2 linked regions of the Notamacropus eugenii genome follow. The protein of the gene in region 1 purifies or fractionates together with the protein of each later gene. This does not show direct contact. Links are inferred from orthologs where the notes say so. Each region holds a gene or a part of one and is shown on either strand. Other genes may lie near its edges.

What was found. The genes of interacting proteins can lie anywhere in the genome.
Region 2: the proteins of DNAJA2 (region 1) and LLGL1 purify together in Homo sapiens (co-immunoprecipitation; 3 studies listed by BioGRID and IntAct, with this or other methods). This does not show direct contact. The link is inferred for Notamacropus eugenii from reciprocal best matches to the Homo sapiens genes DNAJA2 and LLGL1.

Annotation. Positions count from the first base shown.
Region 1 is NC_092872.1:461,624,292-461,632,001, forward strand, and holds the start of DNAJA2 (dnaJ homolog subfamily A member 2), read right to left. Parts: upstream 3,020-7,710; 5' UTR 2,832-3,019; coding exon 2,754-2,831; intron 920-2,753; coding exon 860-919; intron 1-859. UniProt on the Homo sapiens protein: Co-chaperone of Hsc70. Stimulates ATP hydrolysis and the folding of unfolded proteins mediated by HSPA1A/B (in vitro).
Region 2 is NC_092874.1:335,641,931-335,648,973, reverse strand, and holds the start of LLGL1 (lethal(2) giant larvae protein homolog 1), read right to left. Parts: upstream 3,006-7,043; 5' UTR 2,761-3,005; coding exon 2,680-2,760; intron 1-2,679. UniProt on the Homo sapiens protein: Cortical cytoskeleton protein found in a complex involved in maintaining cell polarity and epithelial integrity. Involved in the regulation of mitotic spindle orientation, proliferation, differentiation and tissue organization of neuroepithelial cells.

The sequences.
Region 1 (7,710 bases):
CATTATTCATGGTAATAAGGATTAATGCTAAAAATTTTTAAATTTTGTTTTGTATTTTCCCACTTCAGCAAAATGACTCCATTATATTCTGCTTTGGCTAACATTAAAGTCTGTCTAACCACACACTGACAGAGGCGGTATAGCAATCAATCTCTAATTAAAAACCTGCTGCAGTGTATCCAAATATTGTTAATCAAAATTTATAACACGCAGAAGTGGAAATAATCTAAGTCATTTGATCCAAGCCTGTTATCTTACATGAGGAAACTAAGGCCCAGAAAACTTAAGTGACTCACTAGAGGTAAGACATCCAAGTCTTTCCATTACACTATGATATCTCTTTCTATACTTCAGTTTGTGTTGCTTTTCATTTTAGGAACTGTCTTTCCCTATCCACTGAATTACTTAAGGAAAACTTCATAATTCCTTTCCTTCAGTAATCACCTTCACCACAACTCAGACCTAATAGGTCCCTTTACTTGCAATTCTTATGTATTTATGCATTATTTTATATTTGCTATTATTCTGCATCTCCCCAAATAGACTGTAAATGCCCTTAATGACAGGGACATTTACTTTATGATGACGATGAAGGGAAACCCCATGAGTCATTTATGTACACAGTAGCCTACAAACAGATTTAGAGTCTAAAGAAATAGAAGCTGCAGTTTTTCAGATTAATTATTTCTAGTCTTATCTCCTTCAGCTCTTTTAAAAATGTTTTTACTATACAACTTACATTATTCTTTAAGCCAACGAGACCTGACTTTGTTAAAATAAGAAAATATTTATTTTCAAAAGGAATACAACTATCTAAGTTTGAAAGCTAAACACAAAATCTCAAATATCTAAAACTTACTTTGTCCCCTGCATTTGGATTCTTATCAGGATGGTATTCCTTGGCCAACTTTCTATAAGCCTTAGAGAAAGGATAACAAAAAAATTACTCACAAAAACAGTTAAAACTATTTTAACTTGCACTTTTTTTGAGGAAGAATTTTAAGTAAAAAAATTCACTAAGCTTATATCCTAAATACGTACCTTTTTTCCGCCAGGATACTTATTTAAATTAACTCCAGTTTTAATATCATTTGTTTATGTAACCATAACATTCCCCAGTTACAATCACGGTTGAAGAGTTTTTAAAAATTGAGATACAAATAGAGAGAAGAAAATATAATGGAACATTGTTTCAGTCTCTCACTTACTCCTGGGTGCTTTATTGAAAAGAAACAAGAGGAAAAAGTTTCTAGTAATCTACATAAGTACTAATAGTTAATGAATATTCAGAACAGATCGTAAATAAGCTCTAGTAGATGCCCCTCCGCATCCCCCATACCAGGAACAGGGCAAAATGAAACTACTATAGGCTTACAACTCATTTTCATACAGGAATGCTCTGGGTAATTAAATCATGTCGTGATCTTTGGCTTGGTAGATTTGGAAATACATGTTAAACTATATGGTTAATGACTAAAGCCTTCACGCAGAGAAATGAATTATATAATAGTAAATCACTTCCGGTAAGGTGACAGGAAGCCCATTTTCAGAGATTTTACTCCCAGCAGTCCCTCAGCCTCATCGCCTAGGGCAATTCCATTTCAGCCAGCCCACAAATTTTGATGCAACATCTGAAGGATGCGGTGAGGATTAATTAAATATCTAAAGTGCTCTGAAATTCTCAGATGATAGACTGCACTACTACAAGTAACGAGGTCTTCCATTTTTTTTTTTTTTTTTTGGCGAGGGCTTCAAGTGTTTACTTCAGACGAAGTGCCAGTTTCATCCCAGCAGAACCGACAATTGGAATGACCAGGCTTCACAACAATGCACCCCAACGTGCCCATGTGCTACACCCCAGTTTAATCACCCATGCCGATGAGGCACTGCATGTTACGGAGCAGCAACATCGCCCACGGAAGCAGTTCTCGCCTCATTCCCAGCTGCTCCAATGTCAGCAGGAGCCCGGGGGCCAGGTGATGCCAGCAGCCTTTCCCCCTTAGTCCGCAGCCCTTGGGACCACGAGCAGAGAGGGCCCGGCGGAGGAGAAGCTTTTAGCTGATGACACAGGGGAAACATCCTTTCCCAACCAGCGTCCTCCCTCGTCCCAGGCACACACCCCTTTTATCGGTGGCTGCTTTAGTAAGGAGGGGGTAAAGGCCGGGCCGAGGATGCACCCAGGTGCGTGGGTTCAACCTGTTCTTCCAGGGGTGGTGACCTCGGCACCGGGATGCGAGGGAGGTGGGGCGGCTCTCGGGGCGGCCACAGGGCGGAGGTTTCAGTGCCCGGGCCTCGGGGGTGTTGCTCGTTTAGGGGAAGGTACTGCCTGAAAAACCGAGCGGGAGGCCCCAGGACAGCTCCCCGGGGAGCCCCGGCCTCCATTTCCGCCCGGCATCGCTGCTCCCAAGGTCAGTGGGATGAGCAGGATCCGGGGGGGCGGGGGTGGGGGGAGGCACCGGTGCGGCGGCGGCGGCAGGAAGCCGGAGGAGGAAGGGAGCCGCCTGGAGGCCGAAGCCGGGGCGCCGCATGTGGGCCCCAGCCAGGCCAGCTCCGCTTTCCCCGGCAGGCCCCGGCGCGGTCTCAAGCTCCGGACGCCGTACAGCCCCTCGAGCCGCCGGGCCGCTCTCCCCGCCAGGGCTGCCCAGCCCTAAACCTGCCCCGCGCCTGGGCCCGAGCCCAGGTCCTGGCCCCGCGCCGCCCCGCTCGCCCGCCGGCCGGCCGGCCCGCGCCGCACCGCCCGCGCATGCCGCTACCTTCTTCAGCTCGTTCTCGCTGGCGCCTGGAGGGACCCCGAGGATGTCGTAGAGCTTCGTATCAGCCACGTTCGCCATCGCAGGGCAGAGGGCGGGAGACGGCAGAAAGCGGCGGCGAACCCGGGCCCTGGAGAGGCGGCAGCGGCGACGGCTGAGGAGAAGGAGAAGCGAGAGGAGGTAGAGGAGGGAAGAGGAGGAGCTGAACTCCGACCTCACGTATAACGTCGGGAGCCAGCCCCGCCCCCTCGGTGCCGGACGCGGCGGCGCAGTCGAGCCCCTCCCCTCCAGGAGGTGGTTGGGACCGGCGGTTGGAGGGGGCAGCTGCGGGGGGCGGGGAGGGGACACCGGCTCGTGTTGGGGCGCTGGCTCCTCTGGACTAGAAGTCAAAAGTATCCGGCAGGTTTCTGGGTTTTGTTTGTTTCTTGGTGGTGCGAGGAAAATACTGGGAAAAACTTGAGAATGATTTTAGAGCTCCCCTCAAACTTGGTTATCCTCTCGGTCACGCGTCCTGGCCTGATCTCTCGACTTACAGATAGGGAAACTGAGGCTCAGAGAAGGGCAAGGTTTGACCCCCAACAGAATCCTTCCGTGTTTTTTAACGGCTGAAAGGTGTCTTAGGGATGCCCCTCAGCTTCACCGTCTTTCAGACCTGTGATTTATGCGTGGCAGCTCTCCCACTACTCGTGGTCCCAGAGAGTTCGTTGCCATGGTCCCACAGTTTGTGTGAAAGGCGGGACTTGAACCTCGGACTTCCGGATTGCCCCAGTCCATGCCCCCCTTGTGCTGCCCGACCTCCTGCTGTCATGGACTGCTTCTGTTTATTCGCTGCCCCGTCTCCACCCTGATGACTGTTGGGCCCACCTCCTGCCTTACGGGAAGCCCCTGTTTCATTATCTAGTTGGGGTTACCCTAGTCCTTTGTCACCCCGAACCCTTTGTTTCCCCCTCCCCCCCTTAAGCTTTACCTACCGCCTCCCGTTCTTCTGCCCTCCTTCATCTCCCTCTGCCTCTGGATGGCTTGTTCCCAGGACCTTCGGGCAAAACGAGCTTCCGTCTCTTTCTCGCTACCTTTCAGATTGGGTTTTTTTTCCTATTGGACTTAGTTTTATTCAGTTTTTGAAAGACACCCCCGCTCCCCCCATGGTGACCCCGTTTTACTTGCATTAAGAAAGAGGATGAGGAAATTGACTTTCTCAACTCTTCAAGTGTTGGTTTCCTGACTCTGAAACATGTTCCTAACTTTAGGGTGGTTAGAGGAATGTAGCTTTTCCCTTTGTTTTCGTTGTAAGCTGCTTGGTTATTTGTGAATAACATGCCAATAATCTTTGTTTTAGGAAATTGAAGCCAGCTTTGTCTCCCTTGGAATTACAAGACACTCATTCCACTTCAGTTAGATCCATGCTGCCTGTTTTCTACCACGTAGGAAAGTCAGAGCCCTTGGTGCTGTAACCACTCAACCTTTTCCACTCTCTACCTTTTGTCTTGAGGTGCCGCAAGCTCTGAAGCTCCAGATTTAGCCGGTGCCATTAAAAAGAAAGCCCTTTATCTCACTTCGCTTCTGGCATTGTAAAACGCTGAGTCACAGTGCAGCTGAGGACTGCAAGTGATTGAAAGTTCAAGTTCAGAGTCATTTCAAATTTCTGCCAGGTTTATTTTGTTGCTTCATTTCTTTATGTATTTATTTAGGGGATGGGAATGGGAAGGAAAAGGAAGGATACTGCAGCATTTGCAAAATGTTTGCTTATATAAGTTTAGTCCTGAAGCATTTGGTGTTGAAATATTTAGTTGCTTAAAGGAATTCTATATACCTGCTCCCAATTAGTCCTGAACTGGAAATAATGCTTTTTTCATTTCAGCAACAATTCTGAGATAAGGACAAGGAAACGGAGGCGTTTATCTAGTATCACACAGCTAATCTCTGGAGCTAGATTTGAACTCAGGTTCTCCTGACTAGGTCCAGGGGTTTTATCCACTGTGATGCCTAGCTGTGTGTGTTCTCTCTTCTCTTTTTTTTCCCTTTGCCTGCCTACCTACCTACCTATCTAATCCTATGATAAAGCCACTTATTTACGCAAGAGCTAGTTAATTAGCTAATATTTTTTAAGTACTATGCTAATATCTAGCTGTTAATGTTTATCTTCTAAGTCTGTATTTATCTTAACCCTGCTTGCCTCAGTTACTTATCTGTAAAATGAGGAGAAGGAAATGGCACACCATTCCAGCATCTGCCAAGAAAACCCCAAGCTAGTATTTTTTAAATACTATGCTAGTATGTAGCTATTTACATTTATCAAATGAAATAATTTATGTGTAGAGCTTTGCAAATCTTAAAGCAATATATAGTTATTTATATAACTTTTATATTTTTATATATTCATAAATTTGTATATGTATTTATATATTTATATATATATAAGTTGTTTCAATTAGGATTTTTAAAATGCAGTATAGAAGAGGTCCTAATTTTGTCTGCTGTATGGCAACACTATTGATCCAAGGCTGTGTTTTCTACCCTGAATGGGAAAGACAGAAGAATATACTTCTTTTCTCTCTTGGCCACACTGAACTGGCATTGCAGCAGAAGTTACTTTTGTCAATGCCAATTCAGAGAAAGAATGTGAAAATAGTAGGTAATGATAATGATTGAGTTTCTTTATGTTGCAGTTGCTAAATTTGACCAAAGATTAAACTGTAAACTAACTTCTTATAGTCATTAAGTTCTAAAAAACTCTTTTATTTCTAATAGAAGATGTCATATCTGTTTCCCTTTTCAGGGCAATGAATAGTGCATGCTTCATCAACTCTTATTAAAGTGTTAGATTTATGATCCTAACCAATTTTCTAAATACAAATGAAGAAGCTTTTTTGTTGTACCAATACTCAACTTGAAGAGTATGTTAGGTAGCTGTTTGAGAATGAATTTTTTTCCTGTAAAATATTATTAATCTTAATAAAACCTGTCTGAAAGTGCTGGCCACAGAAACTAAGACACTAAAGTGTGAAGGGTTGTAATATATTGGTTCTGATTCACTCATTGAAAGAATACCCATAAAATCATAGATTCTTAGAATCTTGAAGTAAGAAGGAAAATATCAGTCTGTAAATTTAAGATCAAGTCTATGAAAAATTTATGTCAGCCTTCTTGTTTGCAAAGGTGATATGACAAAGTTGAAAATGCCTTAGGAAGAGTTAATTGATCTTTCAACTTTTAAGAGATCACATTGTTTTTCCCTATATCATTCTCCAAGTCTGAATGTTGTTTATCTTTAGTAGTTTGATTTTAAAATAACTTGATTCATTCTAAAGAAAAGTTCACATTTCCTTTCAAGGAGTCCGTCACTGAGCCTGTTATGTGCCAGGAGGGCACCTACGTGGCACAGTGGATAGAAGACACGTTTCTGAGTTCAAATCTGACCTCAGGCACCTACTAGGTGTTTGACCCTGGGCAGGTCACTTAACCCTGTTTGGAGAAGGAAATGGCAAACCATTCCAGTGTCTTTGCCAAGAAAACCCCAAATGGGGTCACAAAGAGTTGAATGCAACTGAAAACGACTGAACAACAATATGTACTGTGGGTATACAAAGAGTCAAAAGAGAGTCCCTGTCCTCAAGCTTATAGTCTAAATAGGGAATCAACATGCAAACAAATATAAAGCAAGCTATAGAGAAGACTAATAGGAAATAATTAAGAGAGAGGGAAGGCACTTGAATTAAGAAAGGTTGGGAAAGGCTTCTTATTATAAGAAGACGGAGAGGTTAGTTGTCAGAGTGGAGGAGGGAGAGCATTTCAGGCATGGGGAACAGTCAGAGAATATGCCTGGTGCTGAGAGATGGAGTGTCCAGTTTGTGGAACAGCCAGGAAGTCAAAGTATATACCTGGGGCAGGCATGGGTCAGGGAGTAAGGTATTAGAAGATAATAAAGATAGGAGGGGTCCGATAGGAAGGTCTTTGAATACCAAACAGCCTTTCCAACTAGAAGGAGTTAACTTTGAAGAATCCTGATGGTAGAATTATTTATAATCAACCATTAACACCCAATATGTACTAGGCACTGTGCTGGGCTCTGAGGATTTGTTTCTTCAGTTATTTCAGTCATGTTCCACTCTGCATGATTCTGTTGGGGGTTTTTTCAGCAAAGATACTGGAGTGGCTTGTCATTTCCTTTTTCAGTTCGTTTTACAGTTGAGGAAATGGAGGAAAACAGGGTCAAGCAACTTGACCAGGGTCACACAGCTAGTAAATGTCTAAGGTAAGATTTGAACTCAGTTTTCCTGACTGTAAGCTCAGCACTCTACCTGTTCTCCCAATTAGCTGCCCTTAGGCTCTGAGGATAGATACAAAGACCAAAATGGACAGACCCTATTTTCAAGGCACTGATAGCCTATCAGGAGAGACATGCACTTAAGGTAGCATACACAAAATACATATAAAGTAAGTTTTTTAGGAGAGGGCACTTGACATGGTGATGGAAGGGCGAAGGGAGTGGGGAAGAAGGGGATCAAAAAAAGTTTCATATAGGTATTGCTTGAACCGAGTCTTTAAGGAGGTAAAGGTGAGGAGGGACTGCATTCCAGGTGTGGGGGCTATGCAGCACAAACACAGACACTAGAAATAGAATATTATGGGAGGAACATCAAGAAGGCCAGTTTGACTGGATTGTAAAGTGGGAAAGTGGAAGTCATAGAGTTGGAAACGTATATTGGGGCCAGGTTGTAAATTGCTTTAAAAGATAACCAGATCTTAAAGGAAATAGGGAACCATTGGAGTTTATTTATTAGGCTCTCAGGAAACAACTATCTAGAGTTAATATTTATCAAGGTAAGTTTTTGTCATCTGAGATTTAAGTTATTAGCCTTCACTTTTGATTTAGAGAAAGATACCTTGAAAATGTAAGAGTAGCAGCTTTGAATTACAGTTTCTAGGTTACAGTAATGAAGACATTACTTCAGTTATGACT
Region 2 (7,043 bases), on another chromosome or scaffold:
ACACACACACACACACACACACACACACACTTTTTATAATCCTTGCAACCTTTTATAATTCTTCCCACAGAAAGGCATAAGATTCCTACATACACAACACACACACACACTGTACACAATCTGTCTGCCACTGGGAGTTCCAAGGCTTCCCAACCACAGGATATTAGAATCTCCTGTCTAGGAAGAATTGGCCTACTCCAGCAGATGAAGAGACTGAGTCCACTGAGGGGAAATGGAATGCCCCAAAGTGACAAAGAGGTAGCAAAGCTGAGACTAACCAGGGACTGGTTTACCCATCCAGAAGATTGTTCCCCTCCCATCTCCTATGCACAAATCATATTCCTGGTAATGAGTTATCCCTTCTCAAGTCAGCCCCACTTCCCACCAGCCCAAGAAACTTGCTTCAAAGTTGCTTAGGTGAATTGCATCCCTTATTATTCAAATCTCAAAGCAAATTTTACCCCCTCCATGGCCTTCTCTGACCATCCCTGCCTCAAATTCTACCTCTTTCATTTGGCACACATCTTTTCAACTATCTATTATTCCCCTCAACTAGACTTTAAGAATTTTAAGCACAGGGAGCCTAATTTTAACTGTCATGGGTAAAGAAAAGTTCAATGTCTAGACCACAAATAGAGAAAGAGAAGGGCCAGTGATTCAGGAGAACCATACAGGCTCACAGAGTCAGAAAAGACCTCAGAGCCCATCTAGTCTGACACTCTTACAGATGAGAAAACTGAGGCTGGGGAGGTTTGCCTAAGGTCACACAGTGAGTGACAAAAATAGGGTTTGATTTCAGGCTCCCTGACTTTAGAACCGGGCTACTTTCAAGAGGGGATCTATGTCAAGATTGTGTTAGCTGGGAAAAAAACAGAGAAATCAGAGGGAGAAAAAAATCTGATATGTTACAGGTACTTCACAGTCTAATGTTGTGGTTCCCAACCTGAGGGCCAGGGAGTTTTTGCAAAGAAACTCCAGCCATCTCATTAGGCATCAACATTGTAAATAAGAAACAATAGTAAAGAAATAAGCAAATGTCTCTTACACTCTTTACTATTTTGCAAACTTACATAAGATGCTGTGATTAAAAAAGATACAAACTTAAAAGTATTGCTGAATTCACAGCAACTTTGTTACCATGCATTTCTCTCAATCAGGGATAATAGTACAACTACTATCCTGTAGGCGTCCACAATATTTGATGTTAAAAAGACTCCTCATACTTAAAAGCCTAGAAACCACTTGTTTAATAGAGAGATCACAGGCCTCTGAAGTGAGAGACTTGGGCTCCTGGCTTTGCCACTTAATAACTGAATGCCTTTGGTCAAATTACCTTTTTTCAGAGTTTCAATTTCAATAAAATGGGGATACCTATTCTCACCAGATTGTTGTGTGTATCAATTATGTATTCAGTATTTTACCACAAATGAAACTTGTTAAATGGTCCACACATTCAGGGTCCCTACTCCCCAAGGGCAGTAGCCAATGACCCAGGTAGGGGGTAATTAATACTCAAGAATCATTTGTTTCAGGGTCTGTTTCCTTTCTCATCTCTGTGCCTATAATTACCCAGAGAGGCCAGAAGAAAAGTTGAGACGGTTGCAAAGGAAGAGTGGCAGGACGCTTGCCCTGGGGACAAGATGAACCACATCCCTAGGTGAAAAGATTTGTTTCGGGGGTGAGGAGAGGAGACGAGATGAGGGTAGAGTAATCGGACTGCTTTACAAAGAAGCAGGTCTGAAGTCACAGAGAGAGAGAGACAGACAGAGAGAGAGACAGAGAGAGACAGAGAGAGAGACAGAGAGAGAGAGAGAGAGAGAGAGAGAGAGAGAGAGAGAGAGAGAGAGAGAGAGAGAGAGAGACAGAGAGAGAGAGACAGAGAGAGACAGAGACAGAGAGACAGAGAGCGAGAGAAAGAGAAAGTGTGTGAGTGTGTGAGTGTGTATGTGTGCGTGTGCGTGTGTGTATATTGGGGGAAGGGAGCAGTACTGTTCTGTTTGTTTTCTCTGCCTGTGTCTGTGTGATCCCTCGGTTCCCAAGCTGCCCCAGTCATAGTTCTCTCTACCACCGACCGGCCGCAAACATCCCAACTACCTTTGCCCTGTCCAGCAACTCCCAGCATCAGTTAGCAAAGCAAAACAAACCTATTCTTCCACTCCTAAAATGCTGTGCCCCCATTCCGGGGACACTTCCACGGCAGGGTGGAGAGGGAGGAAAAGGGAGTGAAGGCTGAGAAAAGGGGAGAGAAGGCAGAGAGTTCTTCCCCTCTCTCTTACACAGAGGGAAATTGTCGGTTGGGGAATATGGGGAGTCAGAGAGTTGGACTGAGGGAGGGGAGCGGGGCAGTTGAGATTGTGCATTCGGATCCCCAGCCCGAGAGTGAATCAGCTTCCAAGGGCCCTAGCTTCCACACCCACTTCCGAGGGGCACGAAGGGTGGGTGGGTTAGGGTCTTTCTGCCCCGGGGCTCTCACTTCTCGGACTGGGACGTCGTTAGGGCGAAGAGCTAAGTCCAGTCCCCCCAACGCCCCAGCCCCTCCTAGCCCAACGTGGCTGCTCCTTTCCTCCTTCTCCTCTTCCTTCCCCCCACCTCCCCAAACCCACCGCACGCCCCCCATCTCAGGCAGCTTTTGCTCCAGCCCGGCCGCCGCCCCCCTTCCCCCGCAGTCCATCCCCTCACCTTGTTAAATGCAAAGAGATCCTGCTTGATCTTCTCTCTCTGGGGGTCGTTGCCCTGCCGCCTGAACCGAAACTTCATCATCTTGGGCTGCGGAGCCGGACGTGGGTCTCAGGAGGAAGGGTTCGGAAACAATGTAGCACCGGCCTCTCCCCCCCGCACCCCCCCATGCAAGAAGCCCCCAGCGCGCCCTCCTCGCGGGAGCCTGGGCATCCAGCGGCGCTGCCCCGCTGCAAAACCCGGGGGAAGCCGGAGGCGGAGGGGAGGGGGCCGCAGGAGCAGGAGGAGCAGAAGTGGAAGAGGGGAGGTGGGGGTTAGGAGGAGAAGGCGGGGAGAAAGAGAGAAGGTGGGAGTGACGGACGCGCCGCCCGACCAATCAGCTCTACTCCCTGCAACGCCCTCCGTCCCCCCTCCCCTCGCCCCGCAACTCCCGCATCCCGAAGCCAGACAATGAGAGAGGCAAAGGCCCGGGGTTTGCCCGGCTCCGCTTTCCTTAGCGAGCATGTGCCAAGGCCGCGCGCCTCGCTGGGAAATGTAGTTTTCCCGGGACCAAGCCTGCGCCTGCGGATCGCTTGTGCGTGCTGGGTGGGGGGTAGTCTTTGATTTTTTTCCTCTCCACCAGTGCAGGGCCTGCCTGTTGTTGGTGTGTGATTGGGGTTTGGGATTCTTTTTTTCCTCCCCCTCTTGGTGCGTTGTTGCTTTTCCCCCTTCCTCTCCCTGTAACGCAGCCCGAGGATTGGCACGCCATGTCCCAGCTTTGGGCCAGGGACTGAGATGTTTGACTTGAACTTTGCGGAGGACTGTAGGGAGAACTGTGCCATCGAGGTGCTGGGCTGTGAGCGGTAGCTTGGGCTGAGTGGGAGGCTCGCTTTCATATCCCATTAGCCCGCAGTGGGGCACAGAGGGGAGACGTGGAACTAGGAGATCGGGTTTCGAATCCAGCACCTGCCGGCTTTCTTGACTCCAGGGGAGTCACTTCTTTTTATAAAATGATCATAATATCTGCCCTTCCCGCTTTGCAGGGCTATTGTGAAGACTGGCTCCGTTGGATAAAGAATACGTACAAAAGGGATAGCGATTCGGAATCAGAATCTCAAGAACAACTCAAAACTTGTTTTGAGGAGAAATTATAACAATATCCTGCATCCTAGGGCTCAAGAACTTTTAAAGCGCTTTTCATATCTACTTTCCCACTTGATCTTTACAAGAACAGTAAAGTCCCAGTAGGTCAGGAGAAGTTTATGCCCATTTCATAGATAAAGACGTTCAGGGGAAGTTAAGTGACGCAGTAGGAGACAAAGCCAGAGCTAGGATTGGAAAGTGCTGGATTTGGAGACCGAAGACCTGGGTTCCAATCCTTGTTATGTTTACTACCTGTGCAACCTTGGGGAAGCTACCTGACCTCTATGGGCTTTGGTTTTCGCATTTGTTGTATCAGATTGACCTCTAAGGTCCCTTTCGGCTCTTACTTAACGTGTGATCCTATAATGTGATATTGGACATGAAGATCATATCTCCTTTTAGTGTGGAAGATCCTGGGAGTGCAGGAACTATCCTAGTTAGCACAGCATTGTTGTGAAAGCTGACAGTTCCCAGGCCAATGAACAAGCCAGGATACCACATTCCATCCATGTTAAGACAATGTAGAATGTCATCATGAGAAGAGATCTTATCAGTTACCTAGTCCAACTCTCTTATTTAATGGATGAGGAAACTGAGACACAAGAGATGAAGTGATTTGCCCACCAAGGTCACATAATGATCGTGGGCTACTTAGAATATCTCCAGGCTTCCAGTACTGGACTTTCCCCCCCAGCATAGGGTTTCTTCCCTTCCTGGCCCCAAGGACATTTTGAAATGTGTTCTACCTAAGCTAGATGTATTTCCAATAAGATCAGGGTGAAACAAGGATGTCCATTATCACCACTGTTATTCAATATGGTATTAGAAATGCTAGCTGAAGCAATAAGAGAAGAAAAAGAAATTGAAGGAATTAGAATAGGCAAAGAAGAAACTAAGTTATCACTCTTTGCAGATGATATGATATATTTAGAGAATCCCAGAGTATCAAGTAAAAAACTACTTGAAATAATAAACGTCTTTGGCAAAGTTGCAGGTTACAAAATAAACCCAGACAAGTCATCTGCATTTCTATATATTACTAACGAAGTCCAACAGCAAGAGATAGGGAAATCCCATTTAAAGCTATAGTAGACACTATAGAATATCTGGGGGTCTGCCTGCCAAAACAAACCCAAGGAATATATGAACATAATTACAAAACACTTCCCACGAATAAAGTCAGATCTAGGTAAGTGGAAAAACATCAGTTGCTTGTGGGTAGGCCAAGCTAATATAATCAAAATGACAATTCTACCTAAATTAATTTACTTAGTGCCATAACCATCAAACTACCAGATAATTATTTTCTAGAGCTAGAAAAAATATCAAAATTCATCTGGAAGAACAAAAGGTCCAGAATATCAAGGCAACTAATGAAAAGAATTGCTAGGGAAGGTGGCCTAGCCCTACCAGATCTCAAATTGTATTATAAAGCAGCAATCATCAAAACCACTTGGTACTGGCTAAGAAACAGAGGGGCAGACCAGTAGAATCAGTTAGGTACTCAAGACACAGTAGTTAATGAATATAGCAATCAACTGTTTGATAAACCAAAGGACCCCAGCTTCTGGGATGAGAACTCACTGTTTGACAAAAATTTCTGGAAAAACTGGATAGCAGTGTGGCGGAAACTGGGCATAGATCAATGCCGGACACTGTACACAAGAATAAAGTCCAAATGGATACATGATCTAGGTATAAAGACTGATACTATAAACAAATTAGGGGAGCAAGGAATAGCATATTTGTCCGATTTATGGACAATGGAGAAATTTATGACCAAACAAGAGATAGAGAACATTATGAAATGCAAAATGGATAATTTTGATTACATTAAATTGAAAGTTTTTGCACAAACAAACTCAATGCAACCAAGATTAGGAGGGAAGCAGAAAACTGGGAAAGAATTTTTGCAGCTAGTATCTGTGATAAAAGCCTCATTTCTAAAATATATAGAGAACTGAGTCAAATATACAAGAATACAAGTCATTCCCCAATTGATAAATGGTCAAAGGATATGAACAGGCAGTTTTCAGAAGAAGAAATTAAAGCTAGCTATAGTCATATGAAAAAATGCTCTATTGATTTAGAGAGATGCAAATCAATACAACTCTGAGATTCCACATCACACCTATCAGATTGGCTAACATGACAAAACAGGAAGATGATAAATGTTGGAGAAGATGCGGGAGAGTTGGCACACTAATTCATTGTTGGTGGAGCTGTGAGCTGATCCAGCTATTCTGGAGAGCAATTTTGAACTATGTCCAAAGGGCTACAAAAACATGCATACATTTTATATACATACATGCATTTTTCTGGTAGACTTAGTACTTCATTGCAATGCAAGGACTTAAAAAATTTCCAGTGGACTCTTGAGCCAAAATGCCTTCCACATCCAGAGAAGGAACTATGGAATTGGATTGCAGACAGAAGCAGTCCATTTTCTTTTGTATTATGTTTTGTTTTGTTTTATGGTTTCTCCCATTCATTTTAATTCTTCTATGCAACATGCATTTAATAGGAATGTATATGTAGAACCTATATAAGATTGTATGCCTTCTCAGGGAGAGAGTGAGTGGGGAGGGAGGGGAGAAAGAGGGGAAGGGAGAGAAAAAAAATCTAAGATATATGGAAGTGATTATCAAAAACTGAAAACAAATAAAATAATTTAATTAAAAAAAAAAAAAGAAATATGTTCTACCTGGGTCTGAGGAGGTCCCTATGCTAAAGTGTGTGTGTGTGTGTGTGTGTGTGTGTGTGTGGTGTGTGTGTGTACTACTTTTGTTTTTTCTTGGCGGAAGGATTGTTGAACAGTGATCAGTGCTGTTACCCACTGATTAGAGGTAGAGAAAGGTACCCATCCCTGAAACACACACACCTTAGTGATGATTTTGATGCGGTCTTAATGGGACCATTGTAGGGATTGTAAAAAGAGATGTGTTTTTGTTTTGTTTCAATCTCATCTATAGCTCCAATTGATGGAGGAATGAGTGAACAAATTGTGGCATAGAAATTGTAATGGAATATTGTCAGGCAGAAAGAACGATAAATATGAGGAATTCAGAAAAATGTGGGAATATTTGTATGAAGTAATATGGAAAGCTATAAGAACCAAAGAACAGTATTCACAGCTACAACGATGTAAGTGAAAAGGAAATAATCAGGTAAAAAAATTAATAATATCATTGTCGAGAAAATAATGAAGCATAACTCCCTCTATGTTTACTGACTGAATTACTGAC